3 linked regions of the Drosophila melanogaster genome follow. The protein of the gene in region 1 interacts with the protein of each later gene in a biochemical or structural test. Each region holds a gene or a part of one and is shown in the gene's direction. Other genes may lie near its edges.

Region 1 (7,796 bases):
CCTATACTTATGATTATTTTTAGTTAAGTTGTTTGTGTTGTTTTTTGTTTGCCCCAGCTGCTGTACATAGGCGCCAAAAGGGAATGCCATTGAATAAATCAAATCAAATCGAATCGAATCGAATCGAAACGATCGTGAGAATGAAAACCCATTAGGTTCTGATTGATGTTTATTTACAGTATCGTTTCTCATAGATCCCCCCTCTTATCAGTTAGCTGACTCAGGGGCCTTTTGGCCAAATAGGTGAGAAACGTTTGGCTGAGTCACACCATCGACCATAGTCGGTTTCAGCGTAATTATCACCGCACTCACTTGACTCGACCCTACGCTCCTAATGCGGGCTTGGCGGCGATTGCGCCCCTGTTTGTGTCTAAGTTATGTGGGAGGTGATGGGTCAGGCTGGTGGCGACCATTATAGCGTACTCTAGATGCTGCTCGTAGAACCTTCCAGTCAAATGATCGCATGGGATTGGTGTGGGGGAAAATTCTTTCGATTTCTTTCCACACAGCCAGCCCCTTATCTTAATGAACTTAAGCCATGACAAGCGAGAGACACAAAAACATATTTATGAATTAAATGACTACAGATACGAGAAGCGGGCATATCAGCGGCAAAGGGAGGGAGAAATATACATATATACATATGTGGTTGGACCTTCGATGCAGGTCCGGAACCAACCTAGGCCGACGCCTTTAGCTTACGCATTAGGTTATAACAATATAACAATTAGGCGCAGACGCATTCAAATGAACCAGGCGGGGTAGATGATATATTTGGTGGGCATACACTATTAACGACTGCTGATACTTTTTTTTTTGCACAGCCGCCCTGCCTAAAATGGGCGAAAATGCAATTTAAACGGAATGACGTACTTGGGGGGAGTGCTAAAAATTCCGAAAGCGGCCATATCTTGCTGGAATTATGTAAATTAATCAATCGTTATCAGTACCCAAGGCACGGCAATCCACTCGAATTTCAGTTAAGCGATTAGATAACATATGGGGGGGAATGCGAAAACCCTTCGACTAGAATTGTTGCTTCGCTTGCCAAGAGCTACATATGTATGTAAGCCGAACTATGGAAATAATGTACGAGTATTTGAGTAATTAGTGCGTATTTTTTAAATCAATTCGTATTCTAAGCCTACAACTAGTCAAACATACTTATCGAATAAACTGAGAAGCATGACCAATATAAATCTGACTTTATTTACTTTTCTGGTTCACAAAGAATGCGATGCAATGCAAATTTATTTGCGTCCTCCGGTTTCTGATAAGGCGGATTGGAATGAATCACCCGATTGTCTGTGATTTACAATTAGAGGTTTTGTTGCGACCATTGAGATTACTCAAAATGTCCGCAATGGGGCTATCTAATCGAATTGGAGGAGCATGGTGCGCACGTGAGAAGTGCCAAAAAAAAAATCAGAGCATAGTGAAACAATAAATAAATAATCATTACATTCCATATGTGCATACGGACCAATGCAAACAGTAGGCGATTAAGCGTTCTACATTCTATCGTAGCATGCAATTTTGAGTGACTAAGCTCCATGAAACGTTGTTTCTGAGACCTAATTATCTTAAAACAGCATTGAATTGCTTCCTGTTTGCCGAAAGAAGCGCAAGTGTAATCTTAGCATCAGAAATATTGCCAACTTTTTGGGTCGTTTCTTATCATATAATTTGAAAAGTGTGCAGTTTTGGGACAATTGAGATAAAGACTATATTTGTCCCAGTTTGATGAAAAATGGTTCAGATACTTCAGGGCACTGAGCGAAGCCCCTAGCCTCGGGCTATCGTCAAGTGTCCGCCGTAATCTTCAAAAGTGGTCAATACACTTGACTTTGATGTTTTAGTACACAATTTAAATTCAAATCTTTAGTTCGGCGCGCAGATCTCTGTCAACAGCTCGATAATTATCGAGGCCATATAGAATGCTGTCGTTTTCCGGCTTACCAAATACGGTCATACCACCCAAAGCTCTCCAGAATTTTGCAATAAAATCGCAAACAAAGGTATTAGGAGTATTAAGAGGCGTAAAAAATTCATTTGAGGAGCCAATAGTTTCGTGAAATCTAGTGTTTCCTCTTTTAAGTGGTCGCCAAGCATGCCGTTCGTTGGCTGCCTCTAAAAACAGTCAAATGCCTGTGCAAATTTCTCGTGAAAAATCCATAGAATGCACAAAAAATGTTTATCAGTCACTCACAAACACACGCACGCGCCAGCAGTGAGTGGGAGAGAGCGAGAGAGAGCACAGCTGCCGCCGGTGCATGTCATTGCTGTGTGTGCGTGTGTGGGTGAACTTGAGTGGGAGGCGGAAGATATTGGAAAAATTCCTCCGCTTTTCGGTTTGTTTATGTTTAAGAGTTGCCTATTGATTTTTAACAGGCGCCCGAAATTTTAGTGCCATTTCGGTTCAAAGTGTCTGTTGTACTAGTTGAACTTTCCCATTTCCACTCACCTCGTGCAAATCCTAAAATTAAAAGAATCAAAAACTTTGTGGTATTAAATTAACCCCAAATTTGAGCTCATTTGAGCTATTACGAAGTGCACAAAATAACTTAACTTAGCAAGTAAAACACTCACCAAAATATTTTTTAAAACTTAAAAAAACAACGAATGTAGCGTAGTTGATAATAACTTATTACTTAGTAAAAAAAATATTACGATAAATTAGTTTTAAAAGTGTTGCTCATAAATTGAAATCGAATGAGTCCTATAATTGTAGCATTGCAAACGACGAATCCCAATATTAAACCTACACCTTAAAAACGAAGTACTATTCTTATAAAAATAATAGATCTCTATTATGTAACTGATACACCCTTTAAAAATGTAACTTGTGAAATACACCCACAATTAAATTGTATTTCCCCACCAACAGATGTCTTAGCTTTAGCTGGACGCAAAACTTAAACTGCAGACAGTAAAGGACGAAATCACATTACTCGACTCAAAAGAAGACACACGGAAGAGAGATACCAACAAGATGGCCATGTCCAAGGTGATCCGTGTGCTGGAGAAGTCCATTGCCCCCTCGCCGCACAGCGTATTACTGGAGCATCGGAACAAGAGCGACAGCATCCTGTTCGAGTCCCATGCGGTGGCCCTGCTGACCCAGCAGGAGACGGATGTCATCCGGAAGCAGTACACCAAGGTCTGCGACGCCTACGGATGTCTGGGTGCCCTCCAACTAAACGCCGGCGAGAGCACCGTGCTGTTCCTGGTGCTGGTCACCGGCTGTGTGTCCATGGGCAAGATCGGCGACATCGAGATCTTCCGGATCACACAAACCACTTTTGTCTCGCTACAAAATGCAGCGCCCAACGAAGACAAGATCAGCGAGGTGCGCAAGCTGCTCAACTCGGGCACCTTCTACTTTGCCCACACCAATGCCAGTGCATCGGCATCCGGAGCGTCATCGTATCGGTTCGATATTACGCTTTGCGCCCAGCGACGCCAGCAAACGCAGGAGACGGACAACCGTTTCTTCTGGAATCGCATGATGCACATCCACCTGATGCGCTTCGGTATCGATTGCCAGTCCTGGTTGTTGCAAGCCATGTGCGGCTCCGTAGAAGTGCGCACCGTCTACATCGGTGCCAAACAGGCCCGTGCCGCCATCATTTCCCGACTGAGCTGCGAACGGGCTGGCACGCGTTTCAATGTCCGTGGTACCAACGATGAGGGCTATGTGGCTAACTTTGTGGAAACCGAGCAAGTGATCTACGTGGACGGCGATGTTACTAGTTATGTGCAGACGCGAGGATCGGTGCCACTCTTCTGGGAACAGCCAGGCGTCCAGGTTGGCTCGCACAAGGTGAAGCTATCACGAGGATTCGAGACATCGGCCGCCGCCTTTGATCGACACATGAGCATGATGAGGCAACGTTACGGCTATCAGACGGTGGTGAATCTGCTAGGCAGCTCCCTTGTTGGCAGCAAGGAGGGCGAGGCCATGCTGAGTAATGAGTTCCAGCGTCATCACGGCATGTCAGCCCACAAGGATGTGCCGCATGTGGTGTTTGACTATCATCAGGAGTGTCGCGGCGGCAATTTCTCGGCGCTGGCCAAGCTCAAGGAACGGATCGTAGCCTGCGGTGCTAACTACGGCGTCTTCCACGCGTCCAATGGTCAGGTGTTGCGCGAGCAGTTCGGTGTTGTGCGCACGAATTGCCTAGACTGTTTGGACAGGACAAACTGTGTGCAGACGTATCTCGGGCTTGACACGCTCGGTATCCAGCTAGAGGCTTTGAAAATGGGCGGCAAGCAGCAGAATATTTCGCGGTTTGAGGAGATCTTCCGACAGATGTGGATCAACAACGGAAATGAGGTCAGCAAGATCTACGCCGGCACCGGGGCCATCCAGGGGGGATCAAAACTAATGGATGGTGCGCGATCTGCAGCAAGAACAATTCAAAATAACCTACTGGACAACTCAAAGCAGGTACATTGTGGTTTTCAATTAAAAATTCAATTTATTATTTACATTACTCCCGTTTTTTCATATTTAGGAAGCCATTGATGTCCTGCTAGTGGGCTCCACGCTTAGCTCGGAGCTTGCGGATCGGGCTCGCATCCTACTGCCCTCCAATATGTTGCATGCACCTACCACTGTGTTGAGAGAGCTATGCAAGCGCTACACTGAATATGTGCGTCCTCGAATGGCACGTGTAGCCGTGGGTACCTATAACGTCAACGGCGGCAAGCACTTCCGCAGCATTGTGTTCAAGGATTCGCTGGCCGATTGGCTGCTCGACTGCCATGCCCTTGCCCGCTCCAAGGCGCTTGTAGATGTGAACAATCCGTCGGAGAACGTCGATCATCCGGTGGATATCTACGCCATTGGATTCGAGGAGATTGTGGATCTGAATGCTTCCAACATAATGGCGGCCAGCACCGACAATGCCAAGTTGTGGGCCGAGGAGCTGCAGAAAACGATCTCGCGGGACAATGACTACGTGCTGCTCACATACCAGCAACTGGTGGGCGTGTGCCTATACATCTACATCCGACCGGAGCACGCGCCGCACATCCGGGACGTGGCCATCGACTGTGTTAAGACAGGATTGGGTGGTGCCACTGGGAATAAGGGTGCCTGTGCCATTCGATTTGTGCTTCATGGTACTTCCATGTGCTTCGTGTGTGCCCACTTTGCAGCCGGACAGTCACAGGTGGCTGAAAGGAACGCTGACTACGCGGAAATCACCCGGAAGCTGGCCTTCCCGATGGGCAGGACGCTAAAATCACACGACTGGGTGTTTTGGTGCGGCGACTTCAACTATCGCATCGACATGGAGAAGGACGAATTAAAGGAGTGCGTACGTAATGGAGATCTCTCAACCGTCCTCGAGTTCGATCAATTGCGCAAGGAGCAGGAGGCTGGCAATGTGTTTGGCGAATTCCTCGAGGGAGAGATCACTTTCGACCCGACGTACAAGTATGATTTGTTCAGCGACGACTACGACACCTCGGAGAAACAGCGAGCGCCCGCCTGGACAGATCGGGTTCTCTGGCGTCGCAGGAAGGCGCTGGCCGAGGGCGACTTTGCTGCCTCAGCCTGGAATCCCGGCAAATTGATTCACTACGGTCGTTCGGAGCTAAAGCAGAGTGATCATAGACCCGTGATCGCTATTATTGATGCTGAGATAATGGAGATCGATCAGCAGCGGAGACGTGCTGTATTCGAGCAGGTTATCCGAGATCTGGGTCCGCCGGACTCCACGATTGTGGTACATGTCCTGGAGTCTTCAGCAACTGGAGATGAGGATGGACCAACCATATACGACGAGAATGTGATGTCAGCCCTGATTACCGAGCTATCCAAGATGGGAGAGGTCACTTTGGTGCGCTATGTGGAGGACACCATGTGGGTCACATTTCGGGATGGAGAATCGGCTTTAAATGCGTCTTCTAAGAAGAGTATCCAAGTATGCGGATTAGATCTTATCCTGGAGCTGAAGTCAAAGGACTGGCAGCATCTGGTGGACAGCGAGATAGAGCTATGCACCACGAACACCATACCGCTGTGCGCTAATCCTGTAGAGCATGCACAACTCCTGCAGGCCATTACGCCGGAGTTGCCCCAGCGGCCCAAGCAGCCGCCCACACGTCCCCCAGCCCGTCCCCCAATGCCTATGTCGCCAAAGAACTCACCACGCCACCTGCCCCACGTCGGGGTCATCAGCATTGTGCCCAAGCCGGCAAAGCCACCGATGCCACCGCAACCGCAATCTCAACCTCTAATTCCGTCGCCGCTTCAGCCGCAGGTGGCGCCGCCTCGTCCGCCGGCAATGGACACCACGCCATCCTCCAAATCGCAATCGCCAACGGAACTTGTATCCGCTAGTTCTTCGACGTCCTCTTCGGGAAAGACTTCGCCCACAGCTCCAGCTGTGCTCTCCGGTCCGCCGACGCCGCCGCGCCAAATGCAGAGCAAGCAGGCCACACCCGTCTCGACGCCCACGCGCCAAGTCGGTTCGCCCAAGGATCCGATTCCATCTGATACCGCCTACGAAACCGCCAGTAATATTTACGAGGAGATTCAGGAGGATGTGCCTGCGCCACGCCATCCGCCGCCGGCTGGACCGCCGCCAGTGATAGGAGCACCAATGGGCCCGCCGCCACCGCTGCCGAATCGCAGGGGCCCACCACCCATACCAAATAGGAGCGGCAATGCTCCACCGCTGCCCACGCGACCCGCCAACAACTGAGCTGCAGGCTACGCACACGGGGTTGGTTAAGAATTCAAGAAATATCAAGCGTAATCCGCAACTAATCATATAATGGCTATATTTACAGCTCGCTGTCTTGCACTCCGATTGCATTCCGAATCGCTGTATTTAATGTTATATATACTCGAATATATTGGGCCACTCTGGAGGAGAACTCCTGGCAATATCCGCACTTCGCATGGAATCTATGTTACTACCTGTTTGTTTGTTTCGATAGTTTCTAGCCGGAATCAAACTGAATTTAAAGTAAACAAATAAGTTCCACATAGCTAAAGCCCAAACTACCCCACTCCGGTACTCTCTTTTTTTTTTTTTTACTTACTGGCCAGACGTACTCAACCCAATTGCACCGGATTTGCCGAGGGCGAAGAATGAATATAATGAAGTATATGGGCGACAAAGTATTACACTAATCTGCATAAATGTAATGTTTAAATAAATTATAGCCGTACTAGTCAAATTATGAAGTAAAGTTATAAAAACTGAAGAAGCAATAGAACTCTGTAAAAGATTCCGATTCGAGCGACACACCCAAACACATGTATCCATTGTTATTGAACAACTATTGAGATAAATTACATATTATTCCACATTGTTAAACTATCGTTGTATTCCGTCAATTTGAGGCTACATCCGGATTTCTGTTTCAGTTGACTACAAATATATATCAATGTAATTGAGAAATTCCAATTGCTCTGTTCAAAAGTTGAAGTTACGCCTAAGATTAACCAAGTAGCATACTACAAAATAAAAAAGTTGGACCGTCGTAGTCGCTGCTCCAAGTGAATATTCGCAAAATGCATTGGAAGTTAATAAAACTCAATACAAGAGTCAAGTAAAATTACCTGAGAGTTTTCGTAATTAATTGATTTATTTATTCAATACCAGCTTATCAAGCCAACTCAATTCAAACAGAAACTTAACACCGGGAGCTGAACAAGTCAGTAGTATTGGGCAGCTGGATGGACTAGAACCATTTGGGCAGAGCGTCATGGGGCAGGTTCTTATGGTTGGGCAGCGCCGTGCAGGGACGCTGTTGGCGCCAGAACTCCTGCCGTT
Region 2 (4,715 bases), on another chromosome or scaffold:
CACCGTCTGTATTTGTTCCAATCCGCACTGTTTTGAAAAACCCGTAAGTCTATGCGGGACTTCCCCATTATTTGCCAAATATGTCGAGACTTTAGTATCCGATTAGCTGGCGCCGCCATCTGTTCATAAAGTTGTCAAGTGGTGGGTAATAGTAGTATTACAGTCGCAGTCACGTCACGATGTGAGTCACCTGCTCCGGATGCAATTATCGATGGTGTGTGATTGTTGGTAGTGGCCCTATCCCCCCCCCCCCCCTCATTCCTCGCCCAAAATGCAAGTGGCCAAAAAGGTGGCGGGGAGCGAACGCAAAATGTCGTCAACTATTTTTATTTTCGGCCGAGAGACGCGACAGACAAACAACGAACATGAGAACTTTGGGGCAAAGATCCCACATTGCGAACGGAGGATCGGATCGGATCGGATCGGATGGGATCCCTATAAATAGAGGGACTGGTGGCTATGCTCCTGCGAATCTTTCGAGGGGCCCCGAACGCATTAATTATTCAACTCTTCCATCGATTGGCAAGCGTTCAATTTGTTTATTATAAAAGCAAAATATTTTTTAATTGCTTTGGCGAAATGGAAAACACAAATTAGCTTGGCGTGTAGACAGACATTTACATAACTCGAAAGAACACAAGTTTATAATTATTTCAAAATCGTTTGGCATTACTGGGCATTTTAGTTTCGAAAACGATTTCCTATTTTTATGGCCCACTCTGCCAAGTGGCAGCTCAACCAGTTATACAGTTTTGTAACGCACTGCATTATGTACACACACTTTTTGCCTGGGGTTAATTACATTTTATTTTAATTTCACATTTCGTTTGCTTTGTTTTGATTTCCTTGACTTGCCGACGACGCAAAAGCCGAAACAAAGAAATGCATACTTACATATGTATGTATGTATGTATGTATGTATATTTGTATCTTTGCGCGCACGAGACAAGTGCGAGCACTTTCCCACCCACAACCACCCAGCGTTCCCCCATTTACCCCACATGCATTCGCTACATGTCACTACGCTACATGTCATTATTGAAATGCCATTATCAACGAAAAGCGGAACTCCCTCTGTCAAAAAAAACACTTGTGATAGAAAACAAAAGGCCAGCCAGAAGTGAGCTTTTCACCAACAATAATGGGGGAGAATACCTAAGAAAACCGATTTATTCGTTTGTGGTTAATCACAAGCAAGTGCAAGTAACTCTGTGATCAATATGGAGATACTGAAAGGTATTTACCCAACACTGTTTCAATCAGTTGAGCTTCTTCAACACCAGAGATGTGCACTCCGAAACAAAGGTCGAAAGGTATGGATTTGACCAAGAGATATCACCAAGAGATTTTTCTATTTCCCATTTACTCAAATGCAATTGTGCAACACTGAACGAGTCTAGTGTAGTGTTAATATAGCGAATTCCGATGCCAGATAGCCGGGCATTCCCTACTTTAGCTTCATGATCATTACCACGCCGAGATCGTGATGATCGTTGCTGCAATCTCGCTATCGGCGCTCGGCTTCGTTCGTGTGTTCCGCATAAGTGCAGCAAAAAAGTGCAAAAACACCAAGTGAAATAAAAGAGCAGGGAGAAAACACGGTTCCGTATAAATAAAACAGACGACAACAACAACAACAACGACGAGTGGCAAACTTTGGGGACAGAACTGGGGGAACAAAAACCGAGGCAGTTTGCGCTGAATTTTCACACGAAACAGACCGCGCTTCATACAGCCAGATCCAAATGGATCTTAAATTACTTAAATAAACTATATAAAAATAAACGAAATAAGCATATCATTTTGATTGAAAAAAGGAAGCGGTTAGTGCAAAGTGCGTTCGCGATTCCGATTGCGATTCCGATTGCCAGTGATATGTCGACGGCCCTGGTTTATTGGCAGTCAATGAATGGCGGCGATCCGGTTGACAAGGCCACCGCGGATTGGGCGCCATTCGTGGTTGGTGCAGCAGCTGGTGGCAGCTTCAGTAGCAGCATCATCACCAGCAGCAGCAGCAGCTTGAACCACCATCCGCACAACGGCCACCACAATCACCATCATCCGCCTCATTACATCAATTATTTGGCGCAAATTGGCTGCCAGCATCGTGTCAGAAATTGGCCAACAAATGGCAATCAGGATCAGGCGGATGACGACGACGCTGGCCATCAGATCATCTCTAAATTCCTGCCCAAAAGTGCCTGGGACACGGTGCTGTTGGATGTGAAGCGGGATGTAGATGAAGATGGAGATAGAGATAGAGATCGGGTCGATGGCAATGTGCTGATGGTTCAGGGATCGTCATCATCATCATCGAGAATGAAGGCGGAACGGGCACTCTATTATACTAGTAAGCCCATTGGATGAAACAGAGAAGTTGGCCTAGAAAAATTTGTTGCATGTCAGTTTAACTGACCGACAACTTTTTTTTTTGCGTTTGCACAATTAGTCAACGAATAGAAAGGAAAAGTATCTTTGCTCTCGCCACATGTTTTTTTGGAAATTAGAAATGGAGTGTTGGAATATCAAATGTCGCGGATTATCATCGAAAACACAGCTGCTGCCACTTACAGGTTTTACCCTGTTGCTTGATTTTTTCATTCTTGTTTATAACGTTGGGTCTATTTTTGTTGCACAAGCCATCAGCGAACGAAGAGCGAAGAGCAACAAAACAAAAAGAGTGAGCATGTGAAATGGTCATAGGAACGTGGGGAAATAGAATCTACAAACGGCAGAATTATGTATCTGCGCCTGCATATTGTGTAATAATTTCAGTTCAGTTCCGTCTGGTTCTAAAATTAAGGTAGAGCTTCTTTTTTACTTACCTCTGCTGGCCTGCCAATGCACAGGAAAAAAATATTGCTAGCAAAAGTAGATTCTTCGGAAAGGAAGAGAAATGTTCCAATTCGTTTTTTTTTATATGGCAGCATCATGTGCTTACTATCTTTAACTCACTAGTATGACCACCAATTCAACAACTAATTTTAGAACGAATTTTGCATCTTGAGTTAAAAAAAGAATGCATGACTCTGGGCTGGCTCTATATCAGATCTTAAATGGGAATTGGCAGTGTTTTTCCTGCGGTGTGTGTCCACACTTTTCGCCCTACCCTTTGCTTTTATTATCGTTTTGGCAACTCTTGACGCTGACGTAGTCAGGTGTGCAAGAAAACAGGTGCATTTTGCAGAGGAGCGGTGTCCGAGCGATCCGGTCAATGAACCAGCACAGAACGGCGCACAACGAAGGCGGCAAGCAAATACATCGCAATAATTATATATACACACATATATATTTGTATAATTCCCGCCGATATCTGATAGTATCTCTGATCTCTTCCTTTCTCTTACGCTCTAGTGTCCGCTTATGGGTCCAGCGGCGGCAGCGTCGACGCAGCGCAGGGCAGCGGAAGCGGGGGCGGAAGACAGCGCCACGCCCCACTCTACGGGCGATTCGTCGACGCAGAGGATCTGCCTGCCACGCACCGGGATGTCATGCACCATGTGAGTATTATCAACTAGCATTATCCTTATCTTCAATCCAAAACATGCATTTACACACAAAGGACATGCAGAAGTTGTGTTTCTTTCTTTTAGAAATTGTAGAACATTTTTTGTTTAGAAAAAATCCACAAATATTTCAACGGAGCCGTGTAAAAGATAACTTTACTTCGTTGAATATGAACTTACTTTTTCCCATGCTCTACTTAAATTAAAACATGCAATTAGAAAGGTTTATGGCGCATTTGAGAAAGCCGCGCCCTCGGAAGAACAAAGAATGGTATTTTTCAGGACTGGTTTTGCCTTTCTCAATGCGGCCATTAAGACTGCGTATTTATGTTAATAACGAAGCTTAGCAAGTACATTAATAATGTTGTTTTAAGAAATTAAAGAGATTGTGTTCAAAATAAAAATGATTTGATCTGAGCACGATCTGAGCCAAAGCTAGCTGGGCATCACTTTATTGAACAGTTTGAGTAATACGTTCTCCATCTCATTCCACAGCACTCTAGTCCCTCGTCTTCGTCGGAGGTGCGCGCCATGCAGGCCCGGATTCCCAACCACTTTCGGGAGCCCGCCTCGGGACCTTTGCGCAAGCTGAGTGTCGATCTGATAAAGACCTACAAGCACATCAACGAGGTGAGTGTGGCCCATAACTGGCGTTTAATCTGGTTAATCTACAAGCAAAACATATGAGAACCAATTGATAATTGGATATTTGATCATAAAATCCTATGTTTATCGTGGCAATATTGAGTTTGGATCATGTTTACCAGGTTCTCTTGTCGTTACAATGCACATAACTTTTCTGTTTTCATTTGCATTAGTAAATAGTGATTCTATTGATATTTTAGCTTGGCAAGATTCCATATCATTTCAAAAAGTATATTCTATCTAGTTTATGTAACTGTCTACCTTATCAATTACCATTGCGATGATGTTGTTCTTGTAGTCTGCAAAACTACGAAGGAACCTTGGCATCCATCCATCCCGATTTCTTTCTTCTTTTTTTTTTATTTACGCTTATATGTCGATCGGAATTTCGTCGGGGGCTTTTCTCGTCTTGTGGCTTTCTTTTTTCGGCTGTCTGACTATCTGCTGACAGCGGATATTTGTGGCGTTGAGCTGGGCTAAAGATACGTTTGTCCTTGACCCGTTCGTGGGGTCAATTCCCCCAACAGCGTCACCGTTCCCCCGCAGCCAGCCATTTGCAGTTGG
Region 3 (4,680 bases), on another chromosome or scaffold:
ATGCCAATCCCGCTACCTGAAAAAAACAGAGCTAGCATAAGTTTGGCAGAAGGAAATTCAAGAATACGATAAATGGGAAGGTTTTTTTACTCAGAGGTAGTGACGAATAAGAAAATTATAATTTCATATTTTCGTTGATACACAAAATCAAAACAGGTTTAACATCACTGCGAATTAAAAGCACATAAACTATGCGAAAACTCACCAAGGGCTTCAAACTGCTCGCCAATTTGAAATGCCAGTTCCCTCGTGGGGGTTAGCACGAGGGCAAAATACCGCTGCGGATTCTCGAGAAGGGCGTGTAAAATTGGCAGAGCGAAGGCGCCCGTCTTGCCGGAACCGGTCTCCGCTAGGCCAATTACATCCTTGCCCTGTAAGGCGACCGGAATGGCCTCACGTTGGATCTTCGAAGGCGCCTTCCACTTCAATTCGTCACATGCTTGACACAAAGCCTCATTGAGACCCTTTGAAGAAATATGGCCATTCGATTAAATTTTAATTTAAATTAATAGTGGGGCTCATACGAGATCTTTCCAGGTTAGCTTCTGTTCCTCGGCTGCGTCGTCCTCGGAGCCTTTATCATCTTCACCACTTAGTGCCGCCTCGCTGTCCCCTTCCTTATGATTGTTATCTTCATCTTCCTGCTCCTCCTCGCTACCTAGATCCTCCTCTTCGTCACTCGTTTGTAGCTGCGTCTGTTCGTCCTCTGAAGTTTCCGACATTTTGTTACATGAGTTTCAGAAAAATTTCACGGTACGGACATTACCAATAGCAGCACGTGGTCGAAATAAAAGAATTAGAGGCGGTAAAATAGAAATAGAACTATTTGCGATATTATCGATATAGTTGCGTCTTTAAAACAGTGCAGATTCATGATAACTTTCGATAGCTAATGTGCGATATATCACATGCACACTTAATAAAATTTGTAACTCATTCATACTGAACCATGATCTTAATTACAGGACTTAGTTATAGTGCAAATAGTTTGTTTCGGAAATATATTCACATTTGTATAAAATCGTAATTTGTTAGAAAATTGTTTAATATTGTGATTTTGTCATTTCAGTTAATATAACAATGTTTGAAAATAGATGGTGAATACAAATTTGGTATACATCTTTTTCCATCGCGCAATTTTAAATTAATGAAACGCCAATTAGAGGGTTGTCTGTCATGAACTGTCAACGAATAAAAACTGTTTGACATTTTCATACACAAATGTTATTGATGCTATTATTAACAATTCCGTTAAATCCGGAACAAAAGATTTCTGAATAATTGTCATTTTTAATTGTATAGAAATATTAAAGACAATAAAAGAAAAAAATAGTTGAAATAATTTAACTGACTTGTACTTAACATTTTCTTATAATTTTGGATATTCGAATTTTAATCTTCGATTTTGTTTATTGCGATCTGTTGATGTTTTGGTTAGGTATACATTTTCGTATTGTGTTAAATGCATCATACTGCCGACATAATTTTTATGAGGTTCACTGTAGAAGTAATATAATTAATATATTACTCATAGTCAGTAGTTGTTTCATTTATTTAAAAATCCGTTAGCGGCTAAAAACAAAAACGTTGCAGAATAGTCACATCCAACTTAAGGTCACCGTACTTTTCAACACTTGCTTGCTATAATCACAGAAACAAGCGACGGTCACCCTCCTTCGATTATTAGTCCGTACCTATCGGAGCCTATCGTTCGTCGATATAGGATCCTATCATATAAAATATTGATTAAAATTTACGCAAATACAAAATTTTCTTGTTCCGATGAAAAGTAAGCAACAAAATTACAGTTAAGAGGGATATATAAGAGAATAACGTGTGCGTTGGCGGGGACCATACCACATCATTACTTATCAGTTAATTCGTGGCTATGCGGTTGACAAGTGAAAACGCCTACTAAAGAGAAACTAAAACCTTCAGAAAGCGAGTAAAGGGGGCAATCTATCTTTACAACCTGTCCATTGAGATCGCTTAATATTTTTGGAAATGCTTTATAGGTAAACCATAAAAATCCATTGTGAAAATTTGTGGGGGTGGTGGATACTGAATAGGCGATAGACGTAGTAAAGAGAGCGGCGAAAAGAGTGCGGAGCGAAAGAGTTTGTATTTGATGTGTACTCAAAAGTAGCCGAAGAGAGCGCACTAATACACACGCATACGGAAAAAGGACGATAAAGAGGAAGAGCTTTCCGTGGAAACTAGGATAAAGTGTTTGCCCAAAATGAACTCGGCGGTGGATGCGTGGGCTGTGACCCCGAGGGAGCGTTTGAAGTACCAGGAACAGTTTAGGGCACTCCAGCCGCAGGCAGGATTCGTTACCGGCGCCCAGGCCAAAGGGTTCTTCCTGCAGTCCCAGCTGCCGCCCCTGATCCTGGGCCAAATATGGTATGTATATTACGCCCCCATGAATCATCCACCGATAAGAGTGTTAATTCTTACTCATTTTCTTATCTCCAGGGCTCTGGCGGACACTGATTCCGACGGCAAGATGAACATCAATGAGTTCAGCATAGCCTGCAAGCTTATCAACCTCAAGTTGCGCGGCATGGACGTTCCCAAGGTTCTTCCTCCCAGCCTGCTGTCGTCTCTTACCGGCGATGTCCCCTCGATGACGCCACGTGGCTCCACAAGCTCCTTGAGCCCTTTGGATCCACTCAAGGGAATAGTTCCGGCAGTAGCTCCAGTTGTTCCCGTTGTGGCTCCACCGGTGGCTGTGGCTACTGTCATTTCACCGCCTGGAGTCTCAGTGCCGTCTGGCCCCACACCCCCCACCAGCAATCCACCTAGTCGCCACACGTCTATCTCAGAGCGAGCGCCATCGATCGAGTCTGTGTAAGCATCACTTAGAATCGAATTAATGATTTAATATTATTAATGTAGCAAAGAAGAGATAATTTAATTAATTAAATTTCAAATATTCTTAGTTATTGAAATATTAGCAAAAACATATATATAATATCGTATCTGTTCTTAACTCCTCAATCAACTTCTATCCTTTTAGCAACCAAGGAGAATGGGCCGTTCAAGCTGCCCAAAAGCGTAAATACACGCAGGTGTTCAATGCTAATGATCGCACCCGATCTGGTTACTTAACTGGATCCCAGGCACGCGGCGTTCTCGTACAGAGCAAGTTACCCCAGGTCACGCTGGCCCAAATCTGGACGCTGTCCGACATCGACGGCGATGGACGGCTGAACTGCGACGAGTTTATTCTTGCCATGTTCCTATGCGAGAAGGCCATGGCTGGTGAGAAAATTCCGGTTACCTTGCCCCAGGAATGGGTACCGCCCAACTTGCGCAAAATAAAATCGCGACCGGGATCGGTCTCAGGGGTGGTATCCCGTCCTGGCTCACAGCCGGCCTCCCGACACGCATCTGTTTCATCCCAAAGCGGAGTGGGAGTCGTGGATGCTGACCCAACAGCCGGACTACCTGGACAAAGTAAGTGCTTAATTAACTCCGTTGCCAAACATGTGAATATATTCCATATATTAACACTTGTGATTTCGCGTTCACCAGCTTCCTTCGAAGACAAGCGAAAGGAGAATTATGTTAAGGGTCAAGCAGAGCTGGATCGTAGGCGCAAAATTATGGAGGACCAGCAGCGCAAGGAGCGGGAAGAGAGAGAGCGAAAGGAGCGTGAAGAGGCTGATAAGCGTGAAAAGGCTCGTTTGGAGGCCGAGCGTAAGCAGCAGGAGGAACTAGAGCGACAGCTCCAACGCCAGCGAGAGATTGAGATGGAGAAGGAGGAGCAGCGCAAGAGGGAACTGGAGGCTAAGGAGGCGGCCAGAAAGTAAGGACTTTTATCTTGCTTTGAGCGACAAAACAATGTATACAATTTCTATTGTATCAGGGAGCTTGAGAAGCAGCGCCAGCAGGAATGGGAGCAGGCTAGAATTGCCGAAATGAACGCACAGAAGGAGAGGGAACAAGAACGTGTTCTAAAGCAGAAGGCACACAACACCCAGCTTAATGTGGAGCTCAGCACACTGAATGAAAAAGTAATGTTCTTAAAGTACAACTAATCTATATGGCTGGCCTATCTAACTAACTCGGCTTAATTACAGATCAAGGAGCTTTCGCAGAGGATTTGCGACACTCGTGCCGGCGTGACAAACGTAAAGACCGTTATCGACGGAATGCGCACCCAGCGCGACACTTCCATGTCCGAAATGTCGCAGCTGAAAGCGCGGATTAAGGAACAGAACGCTAAACTGCTTCAGCTCACCCAAGAGAGGGCCAAGTGGGAGGCCAAGAGCAAGGCCAGCGGGGCTGCCTTGGGAGGGGAGAATGCGCAGCAGGAGCAACTGAATGCCGCATTCGCCCACAAGCAGGTGAGCTTTGGCATATACGTAAAGTTTTAGTATTCAACGGATTCTCTAAAATACTATTTACCTTTTTCAACAGTTAATTATTAACCAAATAAAGGATAAAGTCGAGAATATCAGTAAAGAGATTGAGTCAAAGAAGGAGGACATCAACACTAATGATGTACAGATGTCTGAGCTCAAGGCCGAGCTCTCCGCTCTAATCACAAAGTGCGAGGATCTGTACAAGGAATACGATGTGCAGCGCACCTCGGTGCTGGAATTGAAGTACAATCGAAAGAACGAAACTAGTGTATCGTCGGCCTGGGACACAGGCTCTTCCAGTGCTTGGGAG

The links.
Region 2: of the proteins of Synj (region 1) and mnb, one has a biochemical effect on the other in vitro, tested with the Drosophila melanogaster proteins (one study listed by BioGRID).
Region 3: the proteins of Synj (region 1) and Dap160 interact in far-western blotting, tested with the Drosophila melanogaster proteins (one study listed by BioGRID).

What each region holds. Positions count from the first base shown.
Region 1 is NT_033778.4:22,078,188-22,085,983, forward strand, and holds Synj (synaptojanin), read left to right. Parts: upstream 1-1,988; 5' UTR 1,989-2,018; intron 2,019-2,255; exon of another isoform or gene 2,256-2,351; intron 2,352-2,497; exon of another isoform or gene 2,498-2,576; intron 2,577-2,887; 5' UTR 2,888-2,992; coding exon 2,993-4,450; intron 4,451-4,517; coding exon 4,518-6,716; 3' UTR 6,717-6,737; intron 6,738-6,804; 3' UTR 6,805-7,234; downstream 7,235-7,796. Other genes in the region: CG13502 (uncharacterized protein), read right to left, coding at 7,705-7,796.
Region 2 is NC_004354.4:17,872,040-17,876,754, reverse strand, and holds the start of mnb (minibrain), read left to right. Parts: upstream 1-1,714; 5' UTR 1,715-1,875; coding exon 1,876-2,350; intron 2,351-3,354; coding exon 3,355-3,500; intron 3,501-4,001; coding exon 4,002-4,136; intron 4,137-4,715. UniProt on the Drosophila melanogaster protein: Role in the specific control of proper proliferation of optic lobe neuronal progeny.
Region 3 is NT_033779.5:21,139,348-21,144,027, reverse strand, and holds the start of Dap160 (dynamin associated protein 160), read left to right. Parts: upstream 1-1,680; 5' UTR 1,681-1,789; intron 1,790-2,015; 5' UTR 2,016-2,239; coding exon 2,240-2,403; intron 2,404-2,475; coding exon 2,476-2,850; intron 2,851-3,019; coding exon 3,020-3,459; intron 3,460-3,537; coding exon of another isoform or gene 3,538-3,549; coding exon 3,550-3,811; intron 3,812-3,871; coding exon 3,872-4,019; intron 4,020-4,085; coding exon 4,086-4,352; intron 4,353-4,425; coding exon 4,426-4,680. Other genes in the region: pths (porthos), read right to left, coding at 1-16, 206-464, 525-722.